Rattus norvegicus: one gene and its partners. The protein of the gene in region 3 purifies or fractionates together with the protein of the main gene of each other region. This does not show direct contact. Links are inferred from orthologs where the notes say so. Each region holds a gene or a part of one and is shown on either strand. Other genes may lie near its edges.

What was found. The genes of interacting proteins can lie anywhere in the genome.
Region 1: the proteins of Mms22l (region 3) and Asf1b purify together in Homo sapiens (co-immunoprecipitation; 4 studies listed by BioGRID and IntAct, counting the BioPlex papers as one, with this or other methods). This does not show direct contact. The link is inferred for Rattus norvegicus from reciprocal best matches to the Homo sapiens genes MMS22L and ASF1B.
Region 2: the proteins of Mms22l (region 3) and Ssrp1 purify together in Homo sapiens (affinity purification with mass spectrometry; 3 studies listed by BioGRID and IntAct, counting the BioPlex papers as one, with this or other methods). This does not show direct contact. The link is inferred for Rattus norvegicus from reciprocal best matches to the Homo sapiens genes MMS22L and SSRP1.

What each region holds. Positions count from the first base shown.
Region 1 is NC_086037.1:41,090,353-41,093,852, forward strand, and holds part of Asf1b (histone chaperone ASF1B), read right to left. Parts: intron 101-3,500; coding exon 1-100. UniProt on the Homo sapiens protein: Histone chaperone that facilitates histone deposition and histone exchange and removal during nucleosome assembly and disassembly. Cooperates with chromatin assembly factor 1 (CAF-1) to promote replication-dependent chromatin assembly.
Region 2 is NC_086021.1:90,537,983-90,541,482, forward strand, and holds the end of Ssrp1 (FACT complex subunit SSRP1), read left to right. Parts: intron 1-280; coding exon 281-410; intron 411-1,382; coding exon 1,383-1,553; intron 1,554-1,675; coding exon 1,676-1,764; intron 1,765-2,251; coding exon 2,252-2,438; intron 2,439-2,667; coding exon 2,668-2,739; 3' UTR 2,740-3,150; downstream 3,151-3,500. UniProt on the Homo sapiens protein: Component of the FACT complex, a general chromatin factor that acts to reorganize nucleosomes. The FACT complex is involved in multiple processes that require DNA as a template such as mRNA elongation, DNA replication and DNA repair.
Region 3 is NC_086023.1:43,105,914-43,109,413, forward strand, and holds part of Mms22l (protein MMS22-like), read left to right. Parts: intron 1-251; coding exon 252-348; intron 349-1,622; coding exon 1,623-1,790; intron 1,791-3,500. UniProt on the Homo sapiens protein: Component of the MMS22L-TONSL complex, a complex that promotes homologous recombination-mediated repair of double-strand breaks (DSBs) at stalled or collapsed replication forks.

The DNA of each region.
Region 1 (3,500 bases), on a different chromosome or scaffold from region 3:
TGCCTTCCTGCAGGAACAGGGCCCACCAGCACTGAGTCTAGGATCTGATCAAACTCCTCGCTCTCAGCTGAGCCCACATAAATGATCTTCCACTCAAGGTCTGCAAGAACATGGGGGATAAGGGAGTTGAGGACTGACACTGCTGAGAGCAAGGTCTTTTTGTCAGCATCAGGTGAATCTGAATATACTAGAAGGTCCTATAACTGCTGGGCAATAGGCCCTGGCACCACAGTCCTGAATTAGAGCAAAATGAAGATCCACTTTAATGGAGACATTTTTTTCCTAATTCTGCCAAGTGACCTTGACTCTGGCCCTCCAGGGAAACTTAGGCCTCTCAGTAGCTGAGAGGAAGCATAGAGCAGAGACTGATCCAAGAGTCCTGTGACAAGGCTTGTGAGGGAACAGCAGGGAGTTAGGCTGCCCTGGTCTCTGGGTAGGAAGTGCCATCCTCTTTCACAGAAGGGTTGGTGCCACCCTAGTAGAGCAGATCCCTCGATAACTGGGGCAGGGTGGCAGATTCCAATCCAGCAGGACAGCCAGGTGGCAGGAGGAGAAAGGCAAAGCTGCGGGGGGAACCAACTTGTCCCAAACTTGTCCACATCTGGCACCGACTCATGCCTACTTGTGCACATTGTGGGACAGAGGCTCTGCCAGCAAATGGTGTGTGATAAGGCATCCCTCCAAACCTGACTCTGTACTCCATCACTAAGGGGGCTTGGTCCTGGAGTATACCCACAAGAGATGAAAGAAAAAGTACCTGGAGACCCTTCCCACTGATCTTAGGAGAGCCCTGGTACTCATAGCCTCTTGTAGGGGGGCCAAGTATTACCAGGAGCAAGGTCATGCTAGTACAGAGAAGCTTGGCATCAGACCCAGAACTTATTTTAGGCTCTTTGAAATTACACAACCCCTAGCTCCAGCAGCTGGGAAAAGTTGCACAAGCTGAGATTTTCAGAGAACTCTTGGAAGCTGCCTGCTCTTGGTCCAGTGTGGTGCAGGCATCCAACACACTGGAAGCACACAGATCATATGTGGAGTTTGTCACCTGGATCATAAAGCTCTCCTTTATACATCTATTCCCTTGTTCCTTCACACGTTCACCCAGATCTTTCTGGTGACCCCATGCCCACGGTTCACCAGGTTCAAACTCCAGCCTCAGCATTTTGGGGAAATTATTAGGTATTTCATTTTTTAAGCTTTATTTTCTTATGTGCATCCCCTTTTATTTTATGTGCATGGGGTGTTTGCCTGCATGTCTGTCTTTGCACCCTTTGGTGCCTGGGCTCAGCGGCCAGAAGATGGTGTTGGGTCTCTGGAACTAGAGGTACTGTAGTGGGTTGGTCTAGTGCTAATTGTATTCAAATGCTAACTCCTGTATCCAAGATCTGGCTGCTCCACGACAAGCCTTCACTTATACCAACCAGCCTTTGTTGTGTAAACCTTGTTCCCCAAGATATCCCTGATTGGTTAGTAAAGATGCCTAGAGTATGTAGAGCAGAAGAGAAGTAGGCGGGGCTTCAGGTCCTGGGACTGGGGTATCAGGCAGGCACCACAGTGAGAGAAGAAATAAGTTATCATGAGGTAGGTGGATCACGAGTGCATGACCATGAGGGCTGCCTGCCTATTGGAGTAGGAGTGACCCAGGCAGAACATGGCAAGTTCTCAGTTATTAACAGCGAAGTAGACAAAACATAAAAGGTTGATATCTGCCTAGCTCTAACAGTTTAAAGCTTATTATAATATTTTATTTATTTATTATATATATGAGTACACTGTAGCTGTCTTCAGACACACCAGAAGAGGGCATCAGATCTCATTACAGATGGTTGTGAGCCACCATGTGGTCGCTGGGATTTGAACTCAGGACCTCGGGAAGAGCAGTCGGTGCCCTTAACCACTAAGCCATCTCTCCAGCCCTTAAAGCTTATTATAAATGTAAAGGATTTTGTCTTTTATTTGAAAACTATGATCTAAGTCAGATAGAAATCCCCAAAATAATATTTACCACAACATTTGGCAAACCAACGAGGGGTAAGAACTTACTTATAACCCAAATTGAAATTTCAAATTCCCTGGATGAAAAGTGCATTGGAGACGGCTCAGTGGTTAAGAGCACTGACTGCTTTTCCAGAGGTCCTGAGTTCAATTCCCAGCATCCACATGGTGGCTCACAACCATCTGTAATGGGATCCGATGCCCTCTTCTGGTGTGTCTGAGGACAGCTACAGTGTATTCACATACATGAAATAAATAAATCTTACAAAAAAAAAAAAAAAAAAAGATGCGTTGCCCCATTAAGATAGAAGTAGTTAACAACTATGTGGGTGCTGGGAACTAAACCTGGGTTCTTTGGGAGAGTAATCAGTGGTCTAACTGTAGAGCACTCTTTCTAGCTGTCCCCAGCTGTTTATTTCTGAGGAGTGCTGGTGATGGAACTTAGGGCGCATGCCAAAAAAGTGCTGTACATCTGAGCCGTGCTCCCAGACCCATGGATCTAGTTGTATAAAAACTGACACTCTAGAATCAGTGATTCTGGAAGGACAGAGAAGTATGTGACTCTTGCTTGATCTCACTTGCTGAGATGACTCTGTCAAGCTTTACTTTCCTCAGGGCCCTTCCCCCAAGCCCCATGGTGTCACATATTTGTACACTTAATCAATGTGTTGGAGGGAATGCCAGGCAAAAAAGAGTTTGACACAGAATATTCCCTGTGTCCCCAAGGCACCCAACATTGCTTAGTCTAGGTCAATACCTTTGGCAAAACCTTTTAAAACACTGTAGTGTACACTAGAAGCCAGCAGATGGTGAGCCCCGTCTTGACATGGGCCTGAAACAGACCAGAGAATTCACAAAAGACCACATAAAATACGGACTGGCTACAGTCAGAGCTGATCAAATCTATAGAAATAGATGGTGAAATAAGGTGCAATAATTTTAAATTTTAAGTTTTTCTCATAGTTTCTTCCTTTAAAAGACAGAATTGCACTGGATATATCTTTAATCTCAGCTTGTGAGACATAACTTTAAAAAAAATGACAGAGTTGGGTTTGAGAAATGGCTCTGAGGGTTAAGGCACAAAATATAAAGACCTAGCTCAATCTCCAAAATACATATGGTGGAAGGAGAGCCAATTCCAGCAGGCTGTTCTCTGACCTCTGCAAGCACTAGCACATACATACACATATGTAAAAACACAGGAACAACTAATACAGTCTTCCTTTGTAATGTAGGCTAGTCCAGGACTTTAACATACCTGCAAGCCTTCCAAGTATTGGAATTACAAGAGTGCACCCATGTGTGTCTCTCACTGAATCCGGAGCTTATTTGGTTGGTGAGATTGGTAGCCAGTGCACCCTTGGGATCCATTCATCTATACCTTTTGCAATCCCCTGCTTGTACCTGAGTGTTGAACATTCAAACTCAGGTCCTTCCTGAGCCATTTCCTCACACTGGAATGCAGTATTTTGAACAGAGAGAAACTAAAGATTTCACTTCAGAAT
Region 2 (3,500 bases), on a different chromosome or scaffold from region 3:
CAGCAGGATACAGTACAGTATAGTACTGGAGGGCGGAAGTGGAGTAGAACCTGCCTTAGAGAAAAGCCCACTGAAACATTTGTTTTTCACTGATGTATTCAACAAATAACCAGAGCAGTGGTGGCTGCTCTGAAAAGGAATGGCAGGAAGCTGGGGTGGCAATTGTGGTGGAAGCTGTCCTTGGGACTTACTCCCTTGGCTCTTTCTGGGCAGATATCTAGATTCCTTTTCCTTCTTCCTCTGTATCTTCCTCTTCTGAGTCTAAGCCTCATTCTGGCAGGTTTGATAGCAATGCCTCTGCCAGCTCCTCCAGTAATGAGGGCGACAGCGACCGAGAAGAGAAGAAGCGGAAACAGCTCAAAAGAGCCAAGATGGCCAAGGATCGGAAGAGCCGCAAGAAGTCTTCAGAGGTATTAGGAGCGAGAATGTGTGTGCTTCCGTTTTCTACTTTCTTTCTCCTGTTCACTACCAGTAGATACTGTTGACGGTGTTGCTTTTGTAGGCTGGTTATGACTTTAGTAGGTATTTTCTAAGTTTTTCCTTTTGGTTCTGAGATACTTTGTTGAGGATCTGGGGTGGGTTTTTTTTTGGTTGTTGTTTTGTTTTTTATTTTTGTGTTTTATTTGTGTTGTATTTTATTTTTTTGTTCATTTGACTAATTTTAATATTTTTGGACAATTTTATACATATATTTAGTGTACTATGATTTCCCTCCTTCCTGCTCTCTCAGCTCTATAATTAGTATCTCTTTTACTTCTTTCTTTCCTGGTGGGTTTAGTAAGGATTGCTTGTGTAATGGGTAAACATGGAAAGAGGGTTAGTTGCTGGAGCATAAGTAATTTACCAGTGGCTACAGCACTGAAGAAAGTGATTCGTGTTCTCCTTGCAATTGTTATCTACACGTAGCTCATTTAGAGGGAGCGAGTCCTCACGGATGCCTTTGCCACGTCTGGTAGAGTATCAGTGGGCCAATGCCCTTAGTGCTTACAGTCACAGCAACCATGCTGTGTCTGGGGACACTGCTTTATAGCACTGCTCTCCTTTCTCTGGCTCTTGCCATCTGCCTGCTCCCTTTTTTAGCCAAGTTTCCTTGGCCTTAGTGACACACATGCTCTGTTTAGGACCAAGTCCTCAGTTGTCACTTAGTCTCAGCACATGACCATATGTGAGTCTCTTACTCTGAATTAGGAGATGTCCTGCCTCTGCCCTAGGGGATCTCTCTGAGGAGAGAACAGTCACCACCTTGTAGCTTAGGCTGTTTCTCCGTGGCCCAAATCTACTTAGTTCTTCCTGCATCTCCTCCTTTCCCAAGCACCTGCCTTGGGGAAGCTTGGCATAGTTGTAGGATGTGCATGGCTGGTAGCATCTGGTTTCTTACATAGGGGAAGAAGGGTAAGGATCCAAATGCCCCCAAGAGGCCTATGTCTGCGTACATGTTGTGGCTTAATGCAAGCCGAGAGAAGATCAAGTCAGATCACCCTGGCATCAGCATCACAGATCTTTCCAAGAAGGCAGGCGAAATCTGGAAGGGAATGTCCAAAGAGAAGAAAGAGGTGCGTGGCAGTGGGAAGGAGGGGAGTGAGAAGGGCTCGTGGGTGCAGGGTGTGCCACTCCTGAGCAACTGTGGATGCACATTTGCTTACATCAGTCTGAGGAGTGCTTGTGCTTGTGGCAGGAGTGGGACCGCAAGGCCGAGGATGCTAGGAGGGAGTATGAGAAAGCCATGAAAGAGTATGAAGGAGGACGAGGGGACTCGTCTAAAAGGTGAGTGTTGGGAGCATAACGGCTAATGACTGCTTAGGACAGATTGTGTTTGCAGGTCAGAATAGAGAATTCCTGTGCATGTTTTTGACAGCAGTTAAGTAGTGCTTCTTATGCCAAGTATGGGTGATGAATTCAGGTTGAGGGATAAATATGGCCCATTTTCCTAGATGAGTTTTACTTGAAGTAATAGGATATAGTTCAGAAGAAAGTTTTCTTGTGAAGCCTAATACAAAGTTCACACGAGCTTTTAAATAAAACAAAAGTGTTCAGTAAGTTCTGCATGTAAGTTGGTTTGGCTCTGACCCTGGTTCTTCTGGGGTACTTGTGTATGATCCTGTCCTTTGGTGCACTTTAGGCTGACAGTGACATTACATTTGCCATGGTGAGAATAGTGTGGCCAGTACTGGGAAAAGTCCTCATTAAAGCTATGAGAAATATAATACAGAAAGCCTAATGACCAGGCTTCTTTTCCATGTTCCTAATCTAGGGACAAGTCTAAGAAGAAAAAGAAAGTAAAAGCAAAGTTGGAAAAGAAATCCACTCCTTCCCGGGGCTCATCATCCAAGTCTTCATCCAGGCAGTTGAGCGACAGCTTCAAGAGCAAAGAGTTTGTGTCCAGTGACGAGAGCTCTTCAGGCGAGAACAAGAGCAAAAAGAAGAGGAGGCGGAGCGAGGTTGGGCAAGGATATGGGGGCTTAGAGCTATGTGTGCCTGGGGGTGGGTAAGGCCCAGTTGTGGTTGGTGTGTGAGAGTAATGAGTTAGAGAAGACCGGTGGACTTCTGAGGTTTTGGTGAGTCCAGGAGTTGTAGGAAGAACTAGGCGTTAGGAACCCTTTACCATTAAGTGGCTGGGAAGGTAGCTGGCACTCGACACATTTATCCTAAGAGAACTTTGGTTTTCAGGACTCTGATGAAGAGGAACTAGCCAGTACTCCTCCAAGCTCAGAGGACTCTGCCTCAGGATCTGATGAGTAGAGGAAGAGAATTCCTGCCCTTGCCCTGTCACACCTCCAGGCTCACACCTCCAGGCTCCCTACTCATTTGGTACCAGTGTCTATGGATTCTGTGCCATCTGAGTAACTGCTCTTGGTGGCTTCCACTTCCCTGAGGCTTTGAGGGAAGCACCTAACCTCTGCTTTGCAAGGAAAGCTCCATGCAATCTGGAAAGAGACTGGGTACTGGCAGCGCATCGAAGGATCCAAGTCCTCATCCTACTTTGCTACTTTCCTGACTGTAGGGGCAAAACTGCTTCCTGTCCTGTTCAAGTTGCTGCAGCAGGGGTCATGCGAAGTCAGGCCTGTAGCTCCTAATAGGGGCCTATTTCTACTTTTATTTTGTATTTCTGGTCTGTGAAAACAATTTAATAAAGGGAACTGACTTTGGAAACGATGTCCTTTGTCTCCTTTCCCACTTTGCATGCTGTGGTGTTTACCTTCCCTGACTGGGCAGAGCCCTCCTGCCCAGCTGGGAAGCAAAGTCTCCAGGTACATCATGTCCTCCCCAGCTGACAAGCATTGGTTTTCATCCTTGTTTTTGAAACTGTGCCACTTGAGAGTCAAGAAATGAGTGCTGATCTGATTAGGAAGCCTCTCAGAGTTCCTTCCACTCCACTCCATTAGCCAACAGAGGGGGCAGGGGCAGCGGCGGCTCTTAATCACCGTATGAGTCAAGGGTCTTACAAGGCTTGAGATAATAGAATGAGGATCGACTTTCTACTGTAGAGTGGAAACCTGAGT
Region 3 (3,500 bases):
GAATATGGATACCTTTCTAAAGAGAAAACATCTTCATATGCATTATTTCAGCTTTGAGACTCAAAATAGATTTTTAAACTTTTTAGGTATTCTTCAGAACAAACAAACTTAAAACTATTTCACTTGAAAACTTAAAAAAAGTATGCAGATACTTGAAGAAAACAACATATTTTTCTAAATCAAGAGTGTTAAAAATGAAGATCCAGATGGTCAGTTCAGACACATTGTGTAATCCTATCATTTTCTCCTAGTTAAAAGGCTGGCCACAGAGAACCTGCAGTGCATGGTAAAAACCTGCCAAGTGGGGTCAGAAGGAGGACCTGCCACCCAGCTGACTTCTCTGTTTAGGTAACTAGAAAGCATGCCAACTGGCAAGGAGAGGGTTGCCAGCCATTTGACGGCCAACATGCTTTTTAAATAACTAATTATCCCAAACATAATGTGTTACTACTTGTTTACAGTGTTTCAATTACAGTATTTGGGGCAGTGGTTTTGTTACATTGTGTTGCTTTTTTGAAAAGTAAAAGTGCCAAGGAGAAAGGTAAGCTGACTGACTTGAAATTACTTGTGTCTTCAGTGAGAAAGAATCTAGAATGTGGTTAAGAAGAAAAACACAAGCAAGTGTAAGCTCCAACAACAGGTGCACAGGCCTTCGGAGCTTGCTTACCTGCTCCTGGGGATGCTGTGTAAAAATGCCTGTCCCCGGTCCTCCGACTTGCTTTATACACACTGAAGTTTCCTAGAGTTCCTTAGCTTTGATTGGAGTCTTCTCTTAGGGCAGAGTCTTTGTGCCATTTCTCCCTGAGGGGTCTGCCTGCTAGCTTTTGTGCATCCTGTCACATGTCCCCGTCCAGGCACGACATGACACTTGATTTGAGGTGTGTTTCTTTTATTCTGCGTTGCATATTTGGTTCCTGGTCTCTTCCTCTTGTCTCATAATTGGTGCTTGTCTGCTCTTTCCAGTTAATTTCAGTTATGATCACTTGATATGATACTAAACATTCACGAACATTCCAACACCATAGGAGAAAAGGAAAGGTCAAATCTTTGTTCTATTGATTGTGGAATGTGGAAATTTTAGACATAATTTTTTTTTATTTATAAAGACTTTCTGCCTATAAGGTTTTTTGTTCACTTAAAACATGTAAAAAGATATGAATAAATTTTTCATGACTATATTGACTAATACAGACATGTGATAGGCTAAAAAAATAACTAGGAAGCGTGACTTTGTTTACTGCCTTTCACGCTCCTTGTATCCCAGGTTTGTAGGGGAGAATATCATGAAAAGTCCTTAGAGTTACTTTTTTTTTTTTTTTTTGAGCCACCTGATTCACCTTCCAATCATTTTTGTTGTTGTTCTCTAAGTGTCCACAAGCTGGGCATGGTGACACAAACTAGTAATCCCAACGTTCTCGGTGACGGAGGCAAGTGGATAAAGTGTTGAAGGTGAAGCCATACTATGGGAGACCACCCTCCTTCTAGTAGTTAAGCAAACATATAAGGCCTTACCATGCACAGTCTCTCAGTCCTTATGAAGTAATGGTCCTGCGTGGTGAGAAGAGATTATAACGTAAATCACTGGCCCAAACTGACTCTGAGGTTGTCTGTTTTGTTGTCAGGCAGTTCATCCAGGACTACGGTATGCAATACAGTTATCAAGTATACAGCATCCTGGAGACAGTAGCAGCACTGAGTCAGCACATTGGCATCCAGTTGATTCCTACCCTCACTCAGTCTCTGAAGGATTCCGAGCTGAAATGGGGCCTCGGCAAAAATATTGCACAGAGGTATGTTTGATTAGACTACTTTGTGTACCATATAATGCATTATAATACATGCTTTATCTTTCTTTTAAAATGCTTTGTTGCCCATTTAGGAAAATGGGATGTTTTCTTTTGATGTGAAGAATGCTTCAGTGCTATGACTGTTGTCACTTTTGTAATGCTTGCATGGGTAGACAGTCATGTGACTTAGCGGGCCATGCATCATCACCATGTTCCTGCTGAAATGGCCACCTCAAAGCTGCACACCTCCTGGTGCTTATCTTTTCAACATGCAGTGTCCTTAGGGACAGCTGGATTTCGAAGCCTCAGGTGACTTGTCATATAAAATCCATATTGACAGATCAACTACCCAGCTATGTCCAGTGTGACAATGAGTAAGGCAGGTGACAGTATGGATTTGACTACATATACGTGATTAGGGTGTTCTGTTCTGTTTCATTTTATAAGCTTATAACCCATCCAAAAATAATGCTGGCTATTTAGACAAAGGCGTCATTGTCATTCTAAGAATAAACCTATGGTTTTAGAGGAGTCAGCACTGGAACTGTTAGTATGTCCTAAGCCATGTTACAGAATGGAATACTTTATTCTAGTTGCCTAGTTGACCAAAAGCAACTTCTGGATGAAAATGTTCATTCTGCTTACTCTTCCCAGTAAGTAATTCATCACTGAAAGAAGTCAGGGCAGGAACCCCAGAGGCAGGAGCTGATGCAGAGGCCATGGAAGGGTGCTGCTAACTAACTGGCTTGCTCTTCATGGCTTGCTTAGTTTGTTTTCTTGTAGAACCCAGTACTAGCAGCCCAGGACTGAACTCACCCACAGTGGGCTGTGCCCTCCCAAATCAGTCACTACTTTAAAAAATTCCTTACAAGTTTACCTGCTGCTGGATCTTATGAAGGCATTTTCTCAGCCAGATGACATATATTCCATTTTACTATGGAACTCTGTGTCAGTTTACCCAGAGACATCCTAAATGCTTATGACATTAGCTGACTAGAAGAGTCCATCCCCAGAGACATCCTAAATGCTTATGACATTAGCTAACTAGAAGAGTCCATCCCATCTTTGCAGCACAGTCAATAGAAACTGTTAAAAGGAAACTTACAAAGTTCACATAGCGTCCCAGTGGCATATGTCTTTTATAGAGAATTTGACTGGCCTCTGTTTTCTACAGAGAAAAGATTAGATCGATTCAAATCAGAGCCTTAAAGAAACAGTGCCTTTTCATACCATAAAACATGCCCTGGCAAAAACTGCTAGCATCTAGGGTCTGAGAAGTTCTCATGGAAAGGCTGGATTTCCCTGTGAACCCTGCCCACTGGACTACTACAACAGCGTTTGCTAATGTGCTACTTGTAGCAGTAAATATTTTATGGAGTCTGCTCTGTGCTCCCAGCAGGAGTGTGCGGCTCTGTACCCACCCAAGAGCTCTGGATTCATGAATGAAAGATATACTCACACCCTCTAGATTTTAATATGGCTTAGCTAACTCAATGACTGGGCACCCACAAACCTCCCATGGCTAGCACACACTCTCTCCAGAATTGCTGACTTAACACTTTCTAAATCTATGTTTTATCTTTGCTCCCGTTTCCTTCTGGGCAGCCCTCCCACGGGGCGGCTTTCCCTTTGCACACACAGCTACTCTTTGTGGCCAGGCATGTTCACAAAGAGACTCATTTTAAAGATTTAGAATCTCACAGGTATTTAGAC